Lepisosteus oculatus: one gene and its partners. The main gene of each other region encodes a partner of the protein of the gene in region 3 in a complex. Links are inferred from orthologs where the notes say so. Each region holds a gene or a part of one and is shown on either strand. Other genes may lie near its edges.

What was found. Proteins that work in one complex are often made in the same cells at the same time.
Region 1: pak1 (region 3) and dcp1a share a complex: the UniProt entries of both Homo sapiens proteins name them as parts of the cytoplasmic complex. The link is inferred for Lepisosteus oculatus from reciprocal best matches to the Homo sapiens genes PAK1 and DCP1A.
Region 2: the proteins of pak1 (region 3) and arhgef7b are in contact, whole or in part, in an NMR structure (PDB 1ZSG), measured with the Homo sapiens proteins. The link is inferred for Lepisosteus oculatus from reciprocal best matches to the Homo sapiens genes PAK1 and ARHGEF7. Residues at the interface, in NP_001363202.1 of Homo sapiens: Thr185, Pro186, Pro188, Val189, Ile190, Ala191, Pro192, Arg193, Lys198, Arg203, Ser204; in NP_001106983.1 of Homo sapiens: Lys192, Phe193, Phe195, Thr198, Asp201, Glu202, Glu217, Gly220, Trp221, Trp232, Pro234, Ser235, Asn236, Tyr237.

What each region holds. Positions count from the first base shown.
Region 1 is NC_090699.1:63,508,227-63,515,977, reverse strand, and holds the start of dcp1a (mRNA-decapping enzyme 1A), read left to right. Parts: upstream 1-4,484; 5' UTR 4,485-4,672; coding exon 4,673-4,807; intron 4,808-5,170; coding exon 5,171-5,211; intron 5,212-6,295; coding exon 6,296-6,423; intron 6,424-7,751. Other genes in the region: voltage-dependent L-type calcium channel subunit alpha-1D, read right to left, coding at 53-80. UniProt on the Homo sapiens protein: Necessary for the degradation of mRNAs, both in normal mRNA turnover and in nonsense-mediated mRNA decay. Removes the 7-methyl guanine cap structure from mRNA molecules, yielding a 5'-phosphorylated mRNA fragment and 7m-GDP.
Region 2 is NC_090710.1:25,691,335-25,699,297, forward strand, and holds the start of arhgef7b (rho guanine nucleotide exchange factor 7b), read left to right. Parts: upstream 1-4,696; 5' UTR 4,697-4,966; coding exon 4,967-5,131; intron 5,132-7,963. UniProt on the Homo sapiens protein: Acts as a RAC1 guanine nucleotide exchange factor (GEF) and can induce membrane ruffling. Functions in cell migration, attachment and cell spreading. Promotes targeting of RAC1 to focal adhesions. May function as a positive regulator of apoptosis.
Region 3 is NC_090700.1:9,943,315-9,951,191, forward strand, and holds the start of pak1 (serine/threonine-protein kinase PAK 1), read left to right. Parts: upstream 1-4,645; 5' UTR 4,646-5,035; coding exon 5,036-5,047; intron 5,048-7,877. UniProt on the Homo sapiens protein: Protein kinase involved in intracellular signaling pathways downstream of integrins and receptor-type kinases that plays an important role in cytoskeleton dynamics, in cell adhesion, migration, proliferation, apoptosis, mitosis, and in vesicle-mediated transport processes.

The DNA of each region.
Region 1 (7,751 bases), on a different chromosome or scaffold from region 3:
GCCGGTACAGCATCAGAAGACAACTGAAAACAAGAGATCACAGCTCCGTTACCTTTTCGTTGGTCCTCTTGTTCATACATCTCGTTTCCTCATTTAAAATATTGCAAAGATCCAATAAAAACAAATAAGCCAAAATAATGATTTGCCCCCCTTTCAGCCCACCCCCATGTTATTTACACAAGTGGTTCCTATAGTTATCCCTGGGAGTTATATCTCACATCGTTATTGCAACATCCGGGTGCTGGCTTCACAAGATGGATTTCATAGCAACTCCTGATGCAGTCAAAAAAAAAAGGGCGAAAGAAGTAAATCCCATCACAAAAGAAATTCCATTTACGTTCCTTTCAGTTTCCGTATCAGCAGCCGAAACATTATAAACCATCTTAGCCCGCTTTTAACCAATGAATTCAACGAATATATTGAAAAATTCGCAGACGAGGTCCTTAGAGGTCGGTCTTTAAAAGACTCTTATTTTGGACGTTGTGTTGCAGGTATGTCCGTGAATGCTCAGTTTGAGTGACGTTCAATGTTTTGCTTTAGTCTTTTTATGATACAGAATGTCAGAATTTTGGACAAGACCGAAAACTCGTATAAATCAATTTAGGCTACTATATAGTATATAAAAGAAACTAATGTGGTTTAAGTCCCTCAGAGGCTAGTTTGTTAACTTAAAAATACATGTCCCGCGCGGTGCTTTTTGTAGAATATAATTTTGGATAATGTAATGCTGGTACTCTATACAATAAGACTAATATCTTATAGGTTTAAGAATATCCTTTTTTAAGAAACACTGTAAATCCATTTACAGCTAGAGACATATAATTAAATAAATTCATGGTCAGACTCCTGGCAGACGACATATAATGCAGACAAGCACGCAGTGTTACACACAGGTAACAGAAACATAAGCTATAAATATAAAATGGGAAATACAGTACAAGAACATACAGTAAGAAAAATGGGGCCATTCACCTGATTTGGTTTCTCAGTTGCCAATTCATCTTCCAGACAATATAGAGAAGGAAGGAGACGTACAATATTGTAAATAATATTGTGTACAATTTTGATCATTATACCTCATAAAAAAACAATTGCTGCTCTTAATTCAGCCCAAGGAAAGTCCTAGACTCACAGGTTAAAAACCCCCAAATCTCTTTCATCTTAAATGCAGAAGACTACAAGGTCTCTGAGGAGTTTAACTGAAGGGTTGAAAATTCCCAAGGCCATCGACAAAGTCCACTCTTCTTCAGAATCAATACTCCGATATGAACTGCAGTAGAGGACAACTGAAAACTAAGTGGAAATGCATTTAAAACTTAGAATAGGAGGCATGGGAGTTTGGAACAAGCTACTCAGTCGAGCTGTTGAAGCTCAAGAAACAGCTGAATGAATTCAATTAGCTACTATCAACTAAACAAGCAAGACAGATCAAATAGCCATCTATCATTTGTAACCTTTCTTGTTCTTATGTTCTATAAATATGTATTAATTTCTCTGTCTCCTAGCTTGATAAATTCAGTATTACCCCGGGAGCATCCTTGTTAGGGTGACACTGTGGATAAAAGCATTGTATCTGATTTCACATGGCATGATCATATTACTGTTGTTAACAGGAATATTCTAGAGCAGTGGTTCCTGTCCCTCGTCCTGGGGGAACCACTCCGTTGGTTTTCATTCCAGTTGAGCTCTCCATCACCAGTATTCACTGATGCCTTTAATCGATCTGATTGCTTGTTTGCTTTTGGGTTGTTCAGTTTATTTGTTTCTGCGCTCAGTCCTGAGATTCAGAAATACTCTACTGTAGGTGTATTGTTTCCAGCAACCTCTGAACACCAAACCTTGAGCGTCTCTCGAAAATTTTCCGTACCCTTATTTCTGACGTAACAGCTGCTAATATGTGGTTAATTTATAATCTGGTAAGTTAAAAACAATGAATGAGAGTAGTTCTGAAATTTAGAGGTTGGTTACAAAATCCCATTTCATCTTAATTATAGGTCAGAATTTGTGCTTTTATTTCTATCATTCTTAATAATATTCCAAAACCCGATGACAGTAGCCTTTTGCAAAGCTTCCAAAAACTGAAATCATACAACAAAACCAAAGGTATTTAATGCTGTACTCCAATTGTCCTCAATAGTAGGAAGTCATTAATGTTGATTTTTTAGTGCCAAGGACTGTAATTTAACTACAGCAGTGCGCTTTTACTTTGGTAATCATAGTCCTGTGTCATAGCTTGCTGTAAAAGAGGCCTAGAATTACTTTGTTACTATGTCTGGCTCAAAAGTGTCTTACACATTTAAAACCAAATATTAAGCAATAATATAAAGGTCCTGGTACATTATTTTATTGTCAATTACAATTTAAAGGCAAGTTATATTATGTATGTTGGAATAAAGATGTATAAATGTCCAGCAAAACATTTTTTCACGACAGCTCAATAAAACTAAAACTAAATCTGTGATAATGACAAATATGAAAATGTACAAAATCTATACAAAACCGTTATTTTAAAATCAGATGTAATATTACCCCAGATTCTGCTACTGTTCTGTTATTATGACCTCTAATCAATGAAAACAGACACCATTAAACTTAACAGTATAAAACAGGATATCTCAGCATAATTCTATAACCTAGCAACAATGTAATGTGTGAATATATAGTCTTTCATATTTTATCTGATACTAAGGGAATATCGGAACAGAATATTTCAATTCCAGATGATGCATATTTTACATTATATTATTTTGGAAAACAATTTAAAACTGAACTCTAGATTCAATATTGAAAAGGGCAACAAGTACCTGTACATATCAGAAGCACATATAGGACATGACTTAAAGAAAACGAAAGAAAAATGGATAAAAGGAAATGGTCATACTGTGGCTTCTACCATACAAACAGTATAAAGTGACCATATCTGTTGCTTACCAGTATACTAATTCTCTCCCTTTAGACAAGTATTTCACTTATACATAATTATATGTTACCCAGAGAATACACTGTATCACAAGTAATTTTAAAATATTATATTAAAGTTAGTAAGCACCACTTCCAATATGAGTCAGACTTCTTTCATGTTGTTTCAAGTTAACACTCTAAACACAGACAATACAAATGCGATATAACAAAAACTTGAAATAAAGTAATAGCAGACATATTGCTGACTTAACATTACTGTCAAGCCAAACATGCAGAACCACCTCTTATCGCATTTTTCTTTCTGTCTCCCCAACATGCAGCTCCTGTGGCATCTGTTTTCTACAGTCCGATACCATTTAAACCCCAGAAAACCAGCGTAGCCTTACCTCACCGACTTGGAAGCTCGACAAATAAAGCCATTCATCTTCTCTCGTTTTGGGACATCCGCACAACTTCAGCTATACGTTTGTCACGCATTTCGTAGTGTAACCACAAAGTGAAATGGCACTGCTGGGTGGAAGGTTTCAGGATATTGGATTACCTGTCTGCAGCAGATAATTGTTTCTCAGAGATAATCCTTGAATTATTAATCCTTCTAATGTTCTTGAGGGAAGCAAGGAGTGTCGCAACTGACCTATTTCAGCCTTCGGCCAGATAGAACATTTGTTCTCACTTCTGTTTAATTGGCTATTTTACTCATTTTATGTTTAGTGTTGTCAGATTTTTTTCCCTCTTCTGATTGTTTGGATGTCACACAGTTTATTTTAATGCTGTATGTGCAGCACTGCTCCAAGGGAGAATGCCCTAGGTATGTGGGGATTCTAAGAACTGTCTTGAACAGATTAAACCAATTTAACCGGTGCCATTACAGTCTGGAAAGGGGAGTCATGATTGGCAATTTAAGGTTGAGAAATCTGGTCTGTGTCTATTTTAAACCTCAAAGACGCACACTTTGTAGAGTAGCAAGCAAAAAAAGCCAGCCCCGCCTTCTACCATTCACAAAACAGGATAGTATCAACGCTAACTCCGCCTTACAAGCCTCGATAGGCTAATAGACAAATAATCTTATTAAAAATGTACAACGTGGGACTGGTTTAAACTGAGGCTTTTGTAAACGGGGACCTCTTGCGTTTTTTCTGTACTCTGTAATTGGATTTAGAGGCACTTTCATTCGAACCAGATAAAAGCATGTTCTGCATACGTCTGTATTAAATTTAGTTTGTGGCCACCATCAGGTTTTATATTTTACACGTGTGTGTATAAATCCAGCATTATAGATTGAAGACAGCAAAATGTAATAATTTTAAACAATTTAGATAACGGTAAAATATATAAACTTCTTTTAATGAAAATAAATAAATACATAAGAGTATAGTCCGCAATTATTTGGAGTTTGTGACGTTGATTAGCTTAGTTCTGGTTGAAATGAGTGTTTTCAGTGGTATTAGGATTTCGATTTTTACTCGGTCGGATACTCATCTCTGTGTGTTTCTATAATGTTCCTAAAATATCATGATTAGCCTGATGAGAAAGAAAAATAAAACAGTACTAAAATCTTAAATCGGCTTTTACGATTGAATAGTGACCTAATAATCTTTTCCCCTTCCCTTCGAAAGTGAACTAAGCGGAACGAAAAAGCCCTTTGTTACAGTAGGAACGTTTATTTCTAGGTCTGTTGTTGCCCTACGAGGAGGGAGTGTTCATAGAAATCCCTCCGTAGGATGCTCGTACTGGGGATTTAGAATCCAAGATGGAGGCTATCAGTAAAGTAGGACATGATATGAGTCTGGCAGCTTTAAAACAGAATGACCCTTATATTAATAGAATCATCGATGTAACCGGGCAGGTAGCACTCTATACCTTTAACTCCAAAGCAAACGAATGGGTAAGGTGTATTAAAATTTTTCGACATATAGTTTAGAAAGCGGCGAGTCTGAGGCTTGTTTCAGTGAAGTTTCTGTATGGAGCACATATTGAAACCAACTTTTATATTAAACTGACATCTCTCCCTTCAGCGGAAATGTTTTTTTAATGAACGGTTTCGAATAAAGAGATTCTGAATCTAAAAAAAAGGTGAATGAGTATCTTAAATGCTGATACGGATAGTCTTGTTAGTACATCTGGTGTTTGTAGATGGAATTCTTAAAATTGGCGTTGCATAATTTATGTTAATTTAGACTGAACCAACAGGTGAAAAGGAGTTTGAAGTAAGATTTTAAGATTGTTTTCTTTTTGTATTATATTCCAGGAGAAAACCGACATTGAGGGTACCTTATTTGTGTACGCCAGGTAACGTATTCGAAGTCGGATACGAGTATCTCTTATATCTATGATCTCCTCCCCTATCCCAGAAAAAAAAAAAACAATCAAGGTTCTGGTCACCAGTACACGTGTTTTGGTCAAGATTAGGCCTCAATATTTATGAATTTATTAAGAATCTTTTAAAATCTCAAACTATCTTATTAAAATATCTTATCAAAAAGCTGTCTCGTTCATAGTTTAATAGTCAAGAGTAGTTTGCGGTTTGGAAGTAATGGAAAAATTAACAATTCAGGTGTAAAGAGTAATAATTCTGGAAGGAGCTGTGAAGCACATAATACAATATATTCCCATCTGCAGAAAGAAACAGCTAGTATGAACACTTATTGAAACAGAGTAACGTATTTTGTATTCATTGCTTTAGATTCCAGAGCACTTAGGATTTACAGTTAGGCCACTGTTTTAAAATGTGTCCATCATGGATGTAAACCATATTGTCTTTTCCAGTATAATAATTAGTTTTTATCAGAAGCTACTGTTAAGACTGAAAATCTATAGGAGAGAAGAAGGTGTCAGTAACCAGTGCTGTAGACCAGTGAGTCAGAGACCACAGTTTTAAATTAAATCTGAAAGATAGGTCACAATTCACTTGGCACTGGATAGACATTTTGGCAATTTTAAGTCGTATTAGAACTATTTAACATTTTTAGAAGTATACATTTACAAGTCAAACCTTCAGATTTTAAGATTCACTTATGGCATAATGACTGCCAGTGTGATAAAAAATATCAATTTACACTGTTGAGAAATCTTAATCTCTCAATCTTTCACTGCAAAAACAGAATGCAACATGTAACTCGGTGAACGGTTGGCTTTGCATCATATACTCAGTCAAGACATGGAAGGTACAGCCCACTAACTCTGAATTATTAAAAATGTTACTTCTGTAGAACACTTACTCCACTTAGCGCTCTTTATATGCAGAATAAATGCACTGGTTTTAATGTTGCTGAGCTCAAGTTTTCCCAAATTGAATTTTTCGTTTGTGTGAGTTGCCAGGTTTTTAACAGGTGTTATTCCAGAATTTGAAAATGGTATTTTTTTTTAATTGTAGGTCAGCTTCTCCATATCATGGCTTTACGATAATGAACCGGCTGAACATGAAAAATCTTGTGGAGCCCATTAACAAAGACCTAGAGTTTCAGCTCCAGGACCCATTTCTTCTGTACAGAAATTCAAACTGTAAGTGCCCTCTTGTGCTGTTTCTAACTTTATCTCATACTAGGTCAAGAAGCAGTGGAGAGACCTGGGGGAGAGAGAGAGAGTCACAAATTTCTCTTTCTAGAATGTGAGTTGAAAAGGGAAAAAAAAATGCAGACAGATTTGTTGGAGAAGTTTTTGTAGTATAGAAGACTTTCTTTTTGGGAAAAGGGAAGGATTTGAAATGGACGTTCACGTGAATTAGCTGTAGACAGCACTGATGCGCCACAGGATTCTCGTTGGTGGCATTTGATCAAAAAGAGTTTTTAGGCTGCCGTCATTAACTTTATTGCTAGCTGGAATGAGCGGCCTTCTTCATGTAGTTCGTGGTACTTAGTTTCCAAATGATTTGCAAAGTTGGCTCCATGAGTAAGTTAGAAAGCGCCCCACAGTGTGCATTAGAACACATTAGCACTCTTATTAAGGATAATGCTAGCCCCTGGGAAATGTGGATTCACTTCCTTAGCACTTGAGCACAAGCTGTCTTAATGAAGTGCAGTGTTGTCTCCAGGGGCCAACTGCACAATACAGCAGAAATCCGTAGTTTCTGTAAATGTGCATCCTTCACTTGAGCAGCACCCGTCTGGTGATGTGTATCACTCGCCTGTTGGGTGCTCTCCTTGGTCTGTTTTTGCTGCCTGCCAAGTTGCATTTTCCTGGAGAAACTGCTTCTTCCTCAAGTATGTTCTGGACTAGAATAACTGTTGAACTTTTCATTCTGAAGACCGTGGGCATTGATAATACAAGTATAGCTGGAGGCAGCAGATGAAGAAAATGGGTGGGAGGGTCTCATAAAATTCATCATTGTGCTTTTCTCATAAATCACTGAGAGATTGGTGCACTTTTCAACATTAACATGAGTGAGTGGGGACGAATAGGAAGCCTTGGATCATCTGATTGCCTTGGTTATGTGCTGTGGATGGCCTGGTCAGTGTTGAGTTCGGTTCTATTTTGAAGCCAGGAGTTTGATAGTGAACATGCAGGTCCATATTTGAAGTTATGAATAGGGTGCACATGAAGAAGATGCCATCCAGCACAAAACTTGTCTTTTTGCTGTGGTTTATGTGTGAAATTGTATTTTTCACGTTTATTTGATTTGTACTGTGAAGATGTTTGACTGTATTCACATGTGGAGGTTTCCCTGTTTGTTTCCAAAGGAGTGGTGAAGTTGATGCCTAGAATGTCATACCGATGTGGATAAAGTGCTGGGCAGGCAGTGAGAAGTGTATTTGGCCGAATAAGACATTGCATTGACAGATTAATCATAGAATCTACCACTGCCAGTGTTATTACTCTATAGACTTCTTGAA
Region 2 (7,963 bases), on a different chromosome or scaffold from region 3:
ATCTGGCTATCCCCACTCCTTATAATCTATTATTCAGTTACGTGCGAAATTAAATCAAATATACTATTTTTAGAAACTAAATTTGGACATCCAGCTTGTCCACTGAGAAATTGTGGTATGAACGCATTACTTCCTGCAAGATTAACAGGACGGAAAAAATGCTAATGATCTTAATATCATTAAGCATTTTTAGAACAAACATAAATTTAGCAACTTAACTTTTCCTGTATAAAACAATTACCGACAGCAGTTCTTAGCTCATCACAAATGTACACATCCCCCCCCCAAATCCCACTCTTCTCTATAACAGAATTTATCTGTTAAAAATGAAAATATTCTAAAAAATAATATGAAAAATTTTGGTACTATCGCAAATATTTTAAGTATTAAACGTTTTCTTAGCTCATACCTTGACTGCTAGTTAAAGCAGCCAAATTATCTTGACGGGCCACGTTGCCTCCTTCAGTTTGTATGATTTCTAACGTTTTAACTATGCAAAAATGCAATTAATTAAACTGTTTTTCCATAGTGCATGGGTTATCCCAGGAAAAGCTAAGCCATTGCAAAGTATTTGTAGGACAGAAAGAATGATATAAGGGCTTATTTAAAATATGATTGAAAGAAGTCTCTCCAGAAAACGTGCTTTGTTTTGCTTCTCTCATTACCGGCAGTGTTGAAGATATATCCAGAAAGAATATATTCACAAACTTTGGTGTGTTTCTAAATTATGTCAGTCCCTCCTTTGTAACGTTAAAGCTTTGCTTAATGTTAAGGTAATCAATTCAGCTAATTGTGAATCATTACAAAACAAACACATTTTCAAAAATAGTGTTCAAGCTTATTTTTAGAGTACAGTAAAAAAAAAAGAAAATGAAAAGATTGCAGAAAACTGATTTTTTTATTTCAGTTTTAAAACTCCCAGTTTTAAATTTGACCGATGGACTCCACAGCTACCCCTGATGTTGACACGAAGAATTGTTTGGTCTTTGTGTTCAAAGTCGCCACCATCCAATTCTTCAGAAAGCAAACAAAAAAAGTTTCTTAATTTCTAATGTATACAGAATATAATAAAACACCAAGGCTGTACCCCATTACCTAGTGACACTCAGATGAAAATAGAGGAAAAACAGAAATTGTTTTAATAAACAGTGTTTAACACTACATAAATCAGTTTCACACATCCTGCATTGGACAGTAAATTACACACATTCCCAAACAATGCGATGTAAGAACACATTTGGAATAATCAAATTTATTTTGAAGTTTCACGTTCAAAACCAAAGTTACAGCTAACAATTTCAGAACCTTCTATGATTAAGTCTGGGATGCTGGTTTAGAAAAGCTGCTGATGTCTGATTGGCAGGCAGGAGAATGGTGAAAAACAACTTGTCTTCACATTTTTCCGATGGTAAAACACATTTTATCACATACAAAGTATGGCAAGTGTGAGTTTTTCCACACATATGTAATGCAGTACATTCAATTTTACTATGAAGCACCCTGGACTCAGCCCGCATGTATTTGAAACATGACTGTTGTTCCAGCACAATGAAACAGAACCCAGAGAGAAGATGTTTGTGTAAATTTGGCTTTAAAACAAAGCACTCATGCCAGGTTGCAGATGGGTGTTAGCATTGTGTTATCCATTTATCATCAACACATGTTTTTCCTTGACAAATTTCCCTTAAAGGAAATCAGGCAATGTTTTGTTCTTGCAGTGTATTGCTCAGTAATATTGCTGTGTTACTGTTTGTGTTAGCATATGTACAGTGAAGGGTTTAAGCATATAGTGCCGATAACTTCAAAACCACATAAATATTTCAGGTGTGCTGATTGCTGGAAGAGTTCCCCATGGGACGCAGAATAAAAATAATGAATCCACAATGAAAAATGACTGAAGTAAATAAGCACAGTTTAGAAAGAATTTCGGATGAAAGCTGAGAAAGAAAAACAAGCCAAATAAAAAAAAATACATCATTTTAAAAGCAGTACAAGAAGCTGATTACTGACTTATGGTTGTCACAAACATTTCTTCAATCATAGCCGACTGTGTTATGACTAATGATTTTAATTAAAAAAGTTTAGTTTGTGTATTTATTGCCAATAATATGATTATAACAATAAGACAAGGAAGGAGACAAAAACAAGTCTGAAATGGGAGGTAAGTGGTGGGAGAGATGAAAATCATATGAAACAAACTCAGGTGATTTTTGTTTTTTTAAATGTATGCTTTTAGAATTCATCATTTTAATGTTAAATTCATAGCCTTGTCAGTGTCACTGCAGGATGAAATGAGTTCCTTGCAACATGTAACATGCTTGGAGATCCTTTAGAATAAATGTGATTACTATTAAGTTGTTTTCTTAAATTGCCCTCCCGGGGATGAATAAAGTATTTTGAATTGAATTGAATTATCATCAGATAAGAAGGTGATACACAAGTATTTTCCTGATTGCCAGGAAGCTGGCAGCAGCTGTGCTAAAATGTCACAGACTTCATCATACAAGGTGCTGAAATGCAAATACACATAAAGTTTATACAGTTGAGGTAAATATTATTAAGTCACTGTAACCTTCCATTAATCTACTTCCTTCCAAGAATATCGTTTTAAATAAAGTTTTGGATTTGATCCATATTCTTCTCTTCATTTAATTCGGGTGTCAGAGCCTACCTTGGCAACCAACAGGTACAACACAGGATATGCCCTGGACAGGACACATATCCGTTACAGGGCACACAGTGACACAAACACGAAAAACCACACTAGGGCCTATTTACCCTATTTTATTGTAATGACAATAACTAGTCGTTTATGCCTGTAGGGTGGTGTGTGATAGAAGCACCAGATTTAATTGGCTGTGCTTTTATTTTAGATTAAAGAAAAGCTGAATTTCACTACCTTTCTTTAGGATGTAGTCTTATAGTCTCTACAGTTCTTAAACCTCTCAGCCTCTTTTCTAAAGCACAAGTGTCATGTCCTGACATGTAATTGTCTTCTGGGCTTCATGGTGATGTGTCTTTTTTCTGTCTTGTGATTATTTCACCAACAGATCGCATGTCTCTGTCCGTAAGGATAAGAAAAACTGCAAGGTGAACTAATCATTATGTTATGAAGAAAGGAATTTTGTTAGCGGTAGGCTTATCCAAAAAGACCCATTTGAAAATTACAAGTTTAACCCCGTTGTTCCATGTTTTTAATTTAAGATCCCAACATGAAATTTGTCATCATCACCAGAAACGTTGTTGTGTTTGTTATTCTCAGCGGTAGTAGTAATATTTGTAGTAGCAATAGGAAGGAATAGTAGATGTTAAAATATTTTAGAAAGACACAAATGATATTTTAATCATTCTTATATATAAAACAGATATGATACATGTTGTTACACAACACTATGAATTCCCAAATTAAAGCCAAATAGATCTAGAATAAAAAAACAATCCCTTAACGGAAAATAATTTTGTAAAACGATTTTCGCTGCAAGGTCTCCCTCGTGTGGAAACAGAAATAATTACACGGCGTATAGTTTTGTCGAAAACTCTAACATTTTATAGATTAAGAATATTAGTATAATATTAAATAATTCATATTTTCAAGTGTCTAATATCTTAAAGTATCCTTTGCTTATAGTTTGTGTTTGTCAATTTATTGATCGTAACAAATAAACGATGATTACCATTTGTTGTATAAGAGTTCTTTATCGCTTTGTAAGCATTGCTTTTGCAGTATAATTAAATCGAAATCAACGAATTTCGAAAAGAAAAATCACATCTAGCTAATAAGGTGCTGGTATGTTCCAGTGTTGGTCCTTACATAAATGTAACTGCATTTTCATTGTTACTTATTCAAACTTTTATTTAAAAAATATTATCTAGCATTCTGCAAAAGCGAAACAACAACATAGAATGCACAAAAATATTCACAATACATAAAACAGCTTAAACTGCCATTGTGTGAATAAAACATTTATTGACGATTCATTTGTACATACCCGCCTCCTGAGTGAGTATAGGAAAACATTTTCACATAAATCTCACTTTAATGTATTAAATCGATTATGAGAAATGTATGTATTTAACCGACAGTTTATAAAGCATGTAGTCTGGCTCATTCACAAGTTCTGTTAGGAAAGCATTGAAGTCAAACCGTGGAACAAAATAGGACAAAACAGGTCGTTTTAAGCGAAAAAGCATACTAGGAGTCTCCACAAGGCGGCGGACTTTCGTATCCAAAAGCATTAAGGTGCTATATCTGAAGCTTTTTTGGGAGATGCGTAAATAATTTGAATTACCCTTTAATTAGAAAAATATTTTGAACGCCCACTATCATTTTTTGTAAATATCAGTGATGTGTTTTTCGAGGTTCGAGATTGTCAAATTATAACACAAATACTAAATCAATAAAATACACTACAGGCAACACAGGGGTGAGAACTATTCCCAGTTCAGGTTTACCCCCACACAAAACAGTGCCTTTCCTTTCACAAAAGCAAAATGCTAGAGGTTTTGCATATCCAGATGCTGCCATCCTATTTCAAAGGCCACACATGTAAAACCATGCAAAAGTATTCCTGTGCCATGCAAATATACCTCTCTGATTACCATTGTAAGTGGCCATGTCGCTTTTCCGTGTCCATGATGTCATCTGCCGGAAGATCACTTGTGGGAGGCAATGCAGGTTGTGTGTATAATAGAGAAAGGCATTTGACAGCTGGCCAAAACAACCCCAGAGGAAAGCAAAAACCGACCTGCTGGATTTTCAAAAGCAAATCGTCATCATCTGCATCTACATGGAGAAGGAGGGATCAGCCGTAGTCTCTGCCCCGGACCTCACACCAATGTAGAGAGGAAATGTTTTAATTGGAATATATATTGATACATCTACCCACATAACTAATTTGCCCCCCGTCTCCCCCCCCCCCCCCCACCCCCACCTCCTCCCAATTGGATTTGCATCGTGAATGCTGCCATGAATTCAGCAGAGCAAACCGTTACATGGCTTATTACTCTGGGGGTCCTGGAATCGCCGAAAAAGACCATCTCGGATCCAGAAGGATTTTTGCAATCGTCTCTGAAAGATGGTGTGGTCCTGTGCAGACTGCTGGACCGATTGCGCCCTGGTTCTATCGATAAAGTAAGGACATTTACCATTCTTACCCGCTCCCAGCTACAGTGCGCTGTGTTTTTGTCGCGTAAACCCTATCGATGGCGTCCGGAGAATACAAAATATCCCCCTTTAATGCCCCGTCTCGGTCAATGTTTCTTTTTAGGTCATGTGTCTGGTAGTTATTGTGCTCCTACTGCAGGCTAACTGATATAGCACAGATGTCAATAACGCAACGCGAGAGGGATTACCGTATTAGACGCTAACAATAGGTGCTATTATATATCATAGGTACAAACTATATCTACAATATCCATAAATCATTGAATGTGAGGTAACCCTCTTAAGAACCGATGCTGGTTCTAACACTGGGAAATATACCCTTTCAACATTTTTTTTATTTATGAAATTGCACTAGACAAGAACATAGGGAATGTGTTTTAAACACGATTTTAAAAGAATGGAATCCCCTTTTTATGTTGCTTTATTTACTTGGAGGTGATGCGCTGACAGAGGACAGAATTGCGCCAAATCAAAATCGACTATTGATTTTTTTTTACGTGTGGAGGGGATACGATCCCACATGAGCAGGCCGCCATTGACTGGAAAAGCGCACACAGTATGTGACGACCCTCGGAAATGTTAAAGGAACAGTTCCATTTTTGAGGGTACGGCTGTCTACCAGAAGGTCAGACCGCATGTGTCAGACTTGTTTATAGTGCTGAACAATTGAGCTTACTGTTACGTTTTTACAGTAGCCTGTACTACAGTCTACAAACAAATTGCTTTGATGTAGGCTATCGTTTCCAACAGATTATTAGGTTCCTTCTTGGAGCTAAATGGAACTCCCGTCGTGTTCTTTCAGTATTGGTCTTTCTTTAATTTCCTCAATATCATGTACTGGGTCTTAACGAGAAATGTACCTGAATAATCTCTGGAATGCAGTTTGGTGATTTTATCTTCAATCACGACAGGTGAAATGACTAATTTTATTGCATGAACATTGCATTAAACAAACCTAATGAACAATGAAACAAAATTGTTTGAAAAAAAGGCTAAAGCCTACATCATGAAAAAAGGTGAGATTTAAATTTGCATTTGCTGCTAAAAACAAGAGGACGTAAGATCCTAGTGTACAGCACACAAATGCGGAATGAAAATTTACAATAATTAATGCCATTAGTACAGGCTTCTTGCTTTGGTCATTTTGAGGGCATACCTCAGGTTAAAACTAGCCTACGGTAAATAATGCCTGTCTTTTTTGAACAATTAAAATCCTTTAAACATATAAATCAAATCAATTTTAATATCACAAAAGTACATCATCATCCATGTATCCAGATATTAACTTTTATTATTGAAGAATCCTTGTGTATTAGAAGTAGGAGATCCACAAAGACGACAACAATATAAAGCAGAGAAACTCAATGCAGTCCAGCATCCATCTGTAACAGCAGATGCCCCCCAATTGTGACAGCAAGGTGATAACTATTATTTTTGGTTTAGAATCAGGCTATTTGTATTTGTGATTGTGGGATTGATGTGGCTTCACAGATGAGATGATGACTTCCGGAGCATCTGCAGTTTCTATTTTTTCGCCACACTTAAACTTAGGTGAAGTTTTGGTTCGGTCTGATTTTTTCTGGAAGTTATGTTCCCCAAATCTTCTGCCTGAGTTTTGTACTTCTGAGCAAATTTGGAAACATGGTGAAACATTCTGGCTTCACATCTGGCTCATTGGTCTTTGAAGGCACTGATGGCAGCGGCAGAATGAATTCTGAAATATTTCCGCTGAATATGTAGAGGAAGGTCATGCCCTGTGCCCACTGCTTGCTGGGATAGGCCCTGGCTCCTCCGCGATGGATGCAGAAGAGGATACTTACGTAGTTGTTGGGCAGCACTTTACCATGCAGCGTGACCACAACCTAAAACATACAGCCCATGCAACAACTTTTATCATTGGGAGAAAAAGAAAAGTCCTAGACTGACCAAACCAATATGGTCAAGCCATGTTTCCAGCTGACCAGCATTTTGCATGATGACGAAAAAGTTCAGAACAAAAAAAGTCCCAACACCTCAGGAAAAATCAAGAAACCTGAGTTACTGAAGCAAAGGCTTAATGAAGCCCCTCAGATGATCACGCAGATACCTGGGTGATCTCAGTGGGTTGCAGGCCTAATGTGGTCATTGCCTCAAGGGGAAATGGTGATAATATGTACTGACTTTTACACTCTGAAATGTACTTAAAGTGAAAGTGTCCCAATACCTTTGGTCCTTTGAAATCACCGGGTTCAACAAAAAGTATGTTTTTCGCACTAATATGACCACGTGTGCGTATGACATGATCTAAAAATAAAATGTATAGTGTATTACATTGTATGCATCTCTCATATTAATTTCCTGTTCTTAAATACAAATTGCTTGACTGTAAAGCAAAAGCAATAGCCTTGACTATGCTGTCCTTGTGTTTTGGGGGGACACTGCAAGTATTTTTTCCCCAAAACTCCGTTCATTTCTCACAATTCTATTACTTTTATATGTATAATGTTTCAGATTAAGGAAGCATTTAATGGAATTTAGAAAAACCAACAACAACAAAGTAGATGGATGGATTTCAGACAAAGGCAAGCTCGAAACTTGATCTACATGTATACAAATATTGCGTAAGAACGAAAAACGTTTTCTTGTAATTCTATTGCGAAGGCCAGGACTGGGAAATTCAAGTTAAAAATAGTGCGCGCAAGGGAAATATATTGATTTGATTCGCATTTGATTTTTTTTTTAAAAGGGTGATCTCTATAATAGAGGCGTACGAATGGCCTAAATAGATTTTACATGCCAGCGAGAGACGGCTGAAGTTGC
Region 3 (7,877 bases):
GAGTGCAGTGTCACTCTTTGTGAAGTTAGAACGGTTGTTGATCAACAGCGTCGAGTCCGAAATGTTTCATAAAGCGTGTCGATCGGAGTGTTTGACCAGTGAGGCGAAAAAACAAGGAAACTGTTCTTGACATTCTGGCACGTTATCACTTGTATACAGAATCAGGAGTGCACCTTCAAAGAGTTTTGTTCTCTTAACTTTAGACTATACTAACGGGGAAAGGAACGCAAATGCTATATAGTTATGCAGCTATATATGCAAATTATACATGATTACTGAGACGTTCTTGCCAAGTTAAATGAGGAGAACGCCAAATGAATCCAGATCCTTTAAATTTCCGCGCTGTACCCTAAGCAGTTCCATTATATGCAAGTCCACATTGGAAGATGTGATGAGAGACTGTGCAGTGAAATACATTTGTATTGGTAAAAAAAGAAGCCCCATGGCACCATCTTGCATATCAGATTAATCTGTCTGAAGGCCAAGGGCTATAGTGTAATTTTCCACTGTCAAAAGTTTAAACAAGGATCAGTTACCTGAAATAATGGAGACTCTGTCTTATGTTGTCTGTCTTGGTTAAGAGAAAAAATATTAATGAAGCAATTGGCGTTGGCCTCTTCTTCTTTAACTGTTTTCATGTATTGCTGATTTTTTTCTGATTATTGAAAAGTGTGTATGGCAGTAAAGGAACAGAAAGAAGCTTTTTTTAAAAAAAAAAAGGGTATTGACAATAAATTTTGAATTGGCCCGTCGACAGCCTTTCCTAAAGTGTGAAAATTCAAGCTTGCAATCTCCAACACGTCAGTGTCCAAGAATAATTGTGTGCTTGATTTGCTTTCAACAGACTGTAGCAAGGAACCGTGTGTGAGAATGTGACTTCTGAAACCAGGAAATCTGAGATGCGTTAGGTTAAGAAAAGTACTTTGTGTACCTCCACGTACATATGTTTAAACCTAGGACGGTTATGCTACAAGATACAACCACGAAAGGCCCTCCACTGTGATTTCTCTCCTCAGTAACGGTAGATTCATGATCAGAACTGACTTGCCACATAAGCACATACATAATGTAAAACAAAAAAATCTTTCCAGGTAATACAAATCTGACGTTTTCTTGTTGGTTGCTATATTTTGTAAGCAGTTTCAGGACCACAGTCCCAGGCCTGAGCTTGCTCTTCAGGAATCGACCTCGTGTGGTAGCAGGTATTGTGCTGGACTGTTAAAGAGGCCCAAGGGAAGGAGCAAACATTATCGATTCTGGGCTCTCCTCGGCGCAGCCTCATCACTGTGTAGGGTAACACTATCCTGGAGTTAACTTCTGATCGATGCACACGCGCAGCTGTTTTTGTTAGCCATGGTTGTTTTCGTTTCAAATTAAATTGGGTAACCTGTTATTAAGAAGAAGGCGAGCGGGTATTTTGGTGAGGACAGACGGTCACGCTGTCATTTATTGAGGGATGAGCTGGCGAGGATGTGGGGGGCGGGCGTGGAGGGGGGGGTGCGTGTGCGGTTTCCAGTCTAATGAAGGACATGAATCCGAAACGACAAAACAAGCAAAAAAAAAAACCAAGCCATTAAATATGCAGAATCTCTCTCATGGCAACAAAACTGAACTGCTGAGTCAGTGTTTTAACGCTTGGCACCCGAAATGTTGGGATTTTAATGTTTTTTTTTTTCCTTTATTCGAAGACGGGGGGGGGGGGACACGCAGTACTGTGTGAGGATTTCTGTGTTGCCAAACAAAATGGTCCAAGTTTGTGGTCATGTGATAAACCTTTTAAATCACTAGAAGTGCTTCCCTTTTTAAGTAAGGTGTTGAATGAAAATGTACTGCTGATGTTACTGTGCTGGGGTGCTGAATGCAGCTCATCTGCAGTGTGATGCTAATCATTTGGTCACAATTACCTGTCCGTTTTCTGTTTCAGCATGCTGTAGCTGTGTGGCTCTTCTCAACTGTCACTTCCAGAGTAATGTTTCTTGTAACAGGGGACCTAATTTATATGACTATTGCCTATATTGTGTTGAAAGTGTGAAAATGATCTAACCTGGCCAAAGCCCCCCTCTTAAGACTATGAAATAAGGGGGAACCCCCAAGCTGGGGTATGACACAGGGGGAAAGACATTTTGAAATTCTGGCTAACTTTTGGCTTTGCGTCCAGTAGATAATGCTCTGTCAGAAAGCAGTGTTCACTAGATCAGGCTGAAAGCAGATCTGTCTTTCTTGTCTTGAAGTTGTAGAATTACAAATGTATATACCGTGGACACATCTTGGGAGTCTGGGGAAGATGAGGGGTTAAAATGGCATAGAAAATCACAACCTTAATGAAAGGCCATTCCAAAACACCCTTTGTCCCCTTCTCCCGAACTGTTGAATTTCAACATGCGATGTCACAGTGGAGACCGCAATCAATTTAACATTCAGCATGCTTCAGATTCATGCAAAGGGTCATTTGACTGTTTGAAAAAAATGGGAATTTTATAATATCATTCAGGTGTATAACCGATAGAAAAAAAAGGTCTTCTCTCTGTAATTATGTGAGTGCAGTACTGTATAAACTGCAACTGTTGAACTGCTCATGGACGTGAATTTCTTGGGTTCTTGGAATTAAACAGACTGACGAGCCAGTCATTTCTGCCTGTCAGCCCAGATCTTTCATTTGCTTGCTTTAGGAAATGAGTCAAGATTACATTGTGAGCCCCAGTCATTCTTAGGTATGAATTTGAGAAAGTCAAAGCAAGCATGGTTTGTGTGGAGTACTACAGTACATAGCAGAAGTTCTAGATAAATTTCTGCTTGGACAGGGTTAAAGTTTTCCATGGAGTGTGTTGGGACTGTTAAAGGCTGGGTGTAGACTGATTTCAGTGCTGAATAGATGAAGTGTTATTCTTCCTCTGTGTAATGCTCTCTGTCAGAGTGTATATATCATGATCTATTACCAGGAGCAGGGGACAGTGCAAGTAGATGGAGAAGCATTCCTACAGTGAGCCTTTTATCTTACTTCCCAGATACAGTCCGAGTAGACTCTTTTACAGCCAAACTGTGCTGTCAGGCTTGAAAATGAATTACACCCGCTGTATGTGGTGCCATCAGCATATTGTTGTGTCCATGAAGAAGCCGACTCATCAGTCTGGATGATCATTAAATCTACATTGCTTGATGATGTATTTAGCGCCATTCTGTGTTGAATCCAAAAGTGCACGAGCAATATAAATGATTATCACGTTATATAGTTTATTCTGAAAGCCTCCTCATAGAACGTATTTATCTTTTCTTAACAATTCTCAGCGCTCTAGGCTGTCTGTGACGAAAGTATCGGTGAATTAATAGCAACTTAGTGCGTGCGTTTTAGTTTTGTTCTGGTGTTTGCCCCCGTTCCAGGGCAAGTTGTCGAGGGTGCAGTCAAAGCGAATTTGTCCTTTTTCAGCTTCGGCGCGAAGCCTGGGTGGCTGAGAGCGCTCTGTCTTTTGAGGGCCGTTCTGCAGCTTCCATATGGAAGTGAGTCCCCCCACCCTCTCGTCTCTGTGGATTTGAAACAGCAGGTGAATGGTGTGCGCCACAAAGCTTTTTTTGGGGGGCTGGAACCATTTAAATGCAAATTGTCCTTGCCTCCCTCCCCCCCAGCGCCATCTGCCGTTCCCCAGGCCCGGTGTGTGTGGCTCCCGTTGGGACGCGTGGGCCGGCACCTCGAGGGTTTGAATGAATGCGCCCCGAGCTCCTCCTGCAGCAAAAGAACACAGACTGCACCCCAGCTTTAATTCTCCGCAGGCCTGGGCCTGGGGTAATGGTTAATTGATGAATGGGTGAATTTCAGCAAATCGCCTGTCAGGTGAGGAGATGCGGAATTAACGCGCAGCAGGTCTGCGATCGGGCAAGCTTTCCTTCTCCGGAAGATACAGCCACACTGTGCTTGCCTGCGTGTTGAGCAGCAGCAGAGCTGTCACGGGGGATGAGTTTGTTGTGACCTGTTTTTTTTGTTTTTTGGAGAACCTACCAACTGTTACAAATGAGAGGAGGCCATTTGACCCATCTACCGTGTGGGGTATTCAGGAGTTCGAGGATCTAAGGATTTGTCTTTTCTGTCGTTTAGTATTTGAAATCCCATTTGCCACCAGTGAATGGTTGAAGGCTGTGTTCTTGGAAGCGCTGGACATGGTAGCTTGTGTTTAAACATTGACATCAGCCAGTGATACTTTTGTCTCTTTAGGTTTTTGTCTGGACCTCAGGACCAAGTTTAATTCCGTCAAGTTTAACCCTGAGTGTCTCAAGCCACTTTATTGCCGTTTTGACAGTTTTTGATTTGGGTTAATTTCTGGTTTATTTTGAGTTCTTTTCCTTTTAATGAATTATAGTATGAGTTATGTTTTCAGAAATGTATTCTAGGGGATGGTGTAGCGCAGGGCTAATGAGCTCAACTCTTGGAAGCTCAGAATCTTCTAGTTTTTGTTCTGTGCTAAGTAGTCAAATAAACAATTGATTAAATTATTGTTTTAGACCCAGGGTTTTTTTTAAGGTACTGTATTTTACAGTTCATAGCTTACTTTAGAGGAATCCACTCTCTAAATACCTGAAGACACTAGGCCTAACAGGAATTTTATATGAGATCCGTGTTGATAAGTATTGCTCATAGTCTATTCCTAAAATTTCTTTATAGGTATCCTCTGGGTTTTAGTCATTGGTTTTTTTTTTATCCAGGGTTTCCTGGTACAGTAAGTTCATTGACGTTTGTGGCTGAATGCGACTTGTGCCTGACTCAGATGCTTTACCTGTAAAATGACCTTCACACTGACGTCCCAAAGATATAGTGTTTCTAAAATGCTAATAAGGTGGTTTTTGTGTTCGTGCATACTTCTTTCCTTGGTGTTTGTAACAAACTGCACACTGCAGACAAAATAAACGCTGTAGTGTTCTGTCTTTGGGGATCTGCTTGAAGATGTAGGATGGCACATTTCAATACAGTGCAGGTCGTTTCAGCCTAATATATGCTAAAATATACATTTGAAGTTGCATTTTTTCCGCCAGAGGGGGCTTCATTAGCATGCATAAAATGGTAAGTTGTGTTTTTTTTTTGCTGACTCTGTGGGGCAAAGCCCTCTTTATTGACGTTTAAAGAACAAACAGTTTTATTGAACAAACTGTAAGTTAGATGAATGGAGGAAAGATGTTTTCCGCATGTCTTCTGTTCTTTAGAGTGTCTTTTAAGCTTCCAGCTTGCACTTAATGAGTTGACTGGCCCTTGGACTGTAGAAATGTTACAAAAAGTAGCTGAGTATCTACCCCTGCAGCACAGCACCATCCTGAAATGAGAAATGGAGCTTTGTTCTTTGTCCAGTATTATTATTATGTGTAATAATTGTGTACACCTGCAAGCCTAGTGGACACAATATTGCTGCTTTCTTTCCTAGATTTATATTTCAGTCTGTATCAATCCCAGTTGTCAGAACTTGTCAGTATTTGGTGTTTTTATATATGGTATTGGCTATTATTGTCTATCACTAGGAGTTTTCTGAGACTGTCCTTACGATTCTGTAATTGTTTTTTTTAGTATGTGGAGTAAACATCTTAATGAGATGGGCTGTTAATAATCTACCCATTATTATTTATAGTGACAGTCATTTACAGTGATTAATTGAACAGCTGGCAGAATTTGTATTCCTTCATAGTTGTCCTAAAACATTTCTTAAAATGTCAAGGCTTTCAGCGCAGTCATATGCTTACTGCCACGAGATGAGGATTGATTAATTGATGGTGTATTGATTTAATGCAGGTAAAAATGTCCCAGCCGTGGTTGGTGGTAGGCAGTGTTATTTAACCTGAACAATGCTGCAGCTTGCTCTTACTGGTTCAGCGACTCTCAGTAAGGGAGTTCAGAAGCCTTTGGCAAGTGTGTCTTGTTTGACTGAGGTAACTGAGACCTTTTGATGTTTGGGGATGATGAAGGCAGATGTTTTGGGGATATTTAAGCACGCTGTGCTCAGCAATAGTATTCAACTGGTTGAAACCTAAAATACAGATTTACCTCAAATACAGTAGTTGTTCTGTACTGTGATTATGGTTTGATGGATGTTTATTTTGTTTGCTCTACCTCTCCTTCTTTGTGAGATGGCTCTTCCTTCGCCTCCAGGTGAAGAACAACACACAGTTGGGGATGAAGGTGGAATGTGTGTAGCTCGTCTTCTTCGGCTTATTTCTGTCTGGTTTTCCGATCGCGCTGCATCACGTTGGTGAGATGCAGATATTTCATCCAGCAGGGATGTGGTTAACCCCCAGCTCTGTCATCAGGGGGTCGCCGCTGTTGGCTCAGTTTAAGGAACTCGTTTCCTCGCTTTCCTGTTGTGTGACTGGCATTCAGACTTGTGGGCGATCGCAGTTGTTTAGTCCAGCTGGGAAGTGGTTAAACCATGGGAACTGAAGCTCCTCAAACTCTCACTGCTCTCTGTGCTGTTTCTGTCTGGTTTAGGAGTCGGTGTGACTGGAGGAGTCTTCACAGCCTAACAGTACGCAACCGAGGATAGCTCTGTCTTTTTTTAGCCTGTGTCGCTCGAGGTGCCAGGCGAGATCTCTCGACGCCCTGAGCACATTCTGTCAGCGCTGAATCGGCAGCTTAAGGAACGAGCTGTCATGGTTTCTGGAAATATGGTTTCATATGTACCCACATACACGTTTCATAAGCCGGTTGCAAGGAGTTCATATAAGGAAAAAGCCCCTAATTTTTCTTGTAATTTCTGTCCTACTGTTAGGACATGTTTATATTATACTTTCAGGCCTCGCTTGGGTTTATATGGTAGTGCAATAAAAGCCTTGCTGCTAGACGTTTCTGATGTGTGAGGAGCTGTAACAATGAACAAACGGAGAAACGATCTTAAGTGATTTACAGTAACAGTTAACAGTATAAGTTAAGGGGTTTCAGTTCAGGTTTTGTTTAAAAATAACTTAGGCACTTATAAGAGAAATGTGGGTTGTCACTTATTCATTCTAGATAAATATCTTATAAGATCACTTTATTGGCCATAAACAATTTCTTGTATTAGGAATTTGTCTTTTCGCATATCCCAGCTTGCTCTCCATGAGACACACAGACGAGGAGAGAGAAGCTTGAGGTCAGATTTATACGGCACCCCTGGAGTAGTTGGGGTTAAGGGCCTTGCTCAGGGGCCCAATGGAGTAGGATTCCTCTGCCAGCCGAGGGATTCAAACTGGCACCCTTCCAGCCACAGGCGCAGATCCTTAGCCACAGAGCCACCACACTGCCCCCTTATTCTTTCACTGCTACTGCTATAGAATATAGTCTGCTGTATTCTTTTTAAAGATGGACCTTTTTGATACATTACTCATCAGTGGAGAAGAGAGGGGATGACATAAGTGGTTGAAGCAAGATGACAGAAGCACTTCCCCTGACTGTACACATTTAATTTTTTTGCCCTCTGGGGAAAACAACCAAAGCCAGTACTCTTCCAAAGCTTTATCATGTAGATTTTTGCCTTTCTAGACGAAGTGACTCAGGCTAAATCACAACTTGCAGTAAATGCTTTAGCGAAGTGACTAACGGCACTCCTCTGTGGTACCAGCTGTGTGGATAGCATTGCAAGGTAATGTAATACAAGAATAGTCTGAAGTTTTAACTATTGCCACTCAGGCAGATGCTTGCAGATGCTAACTTTCCAGTGGGAATGTCCTTTTAATCCTATGAAACTAAAGAGCTTGGCAGTTCACAGCAAATAAGAGCCGGGTGCAGTAATGATGAATTCCCTGGGATAGGCTGAGCATCGCGGTGTCTTTATGGGGTGTGTGGTATAATTTCATTGTAAATATCCCTGCCTTGGGGGCAAAAAAATTACCAGCAACTTAAAATACGTCCGCACAGTCTACTATCGGGAACA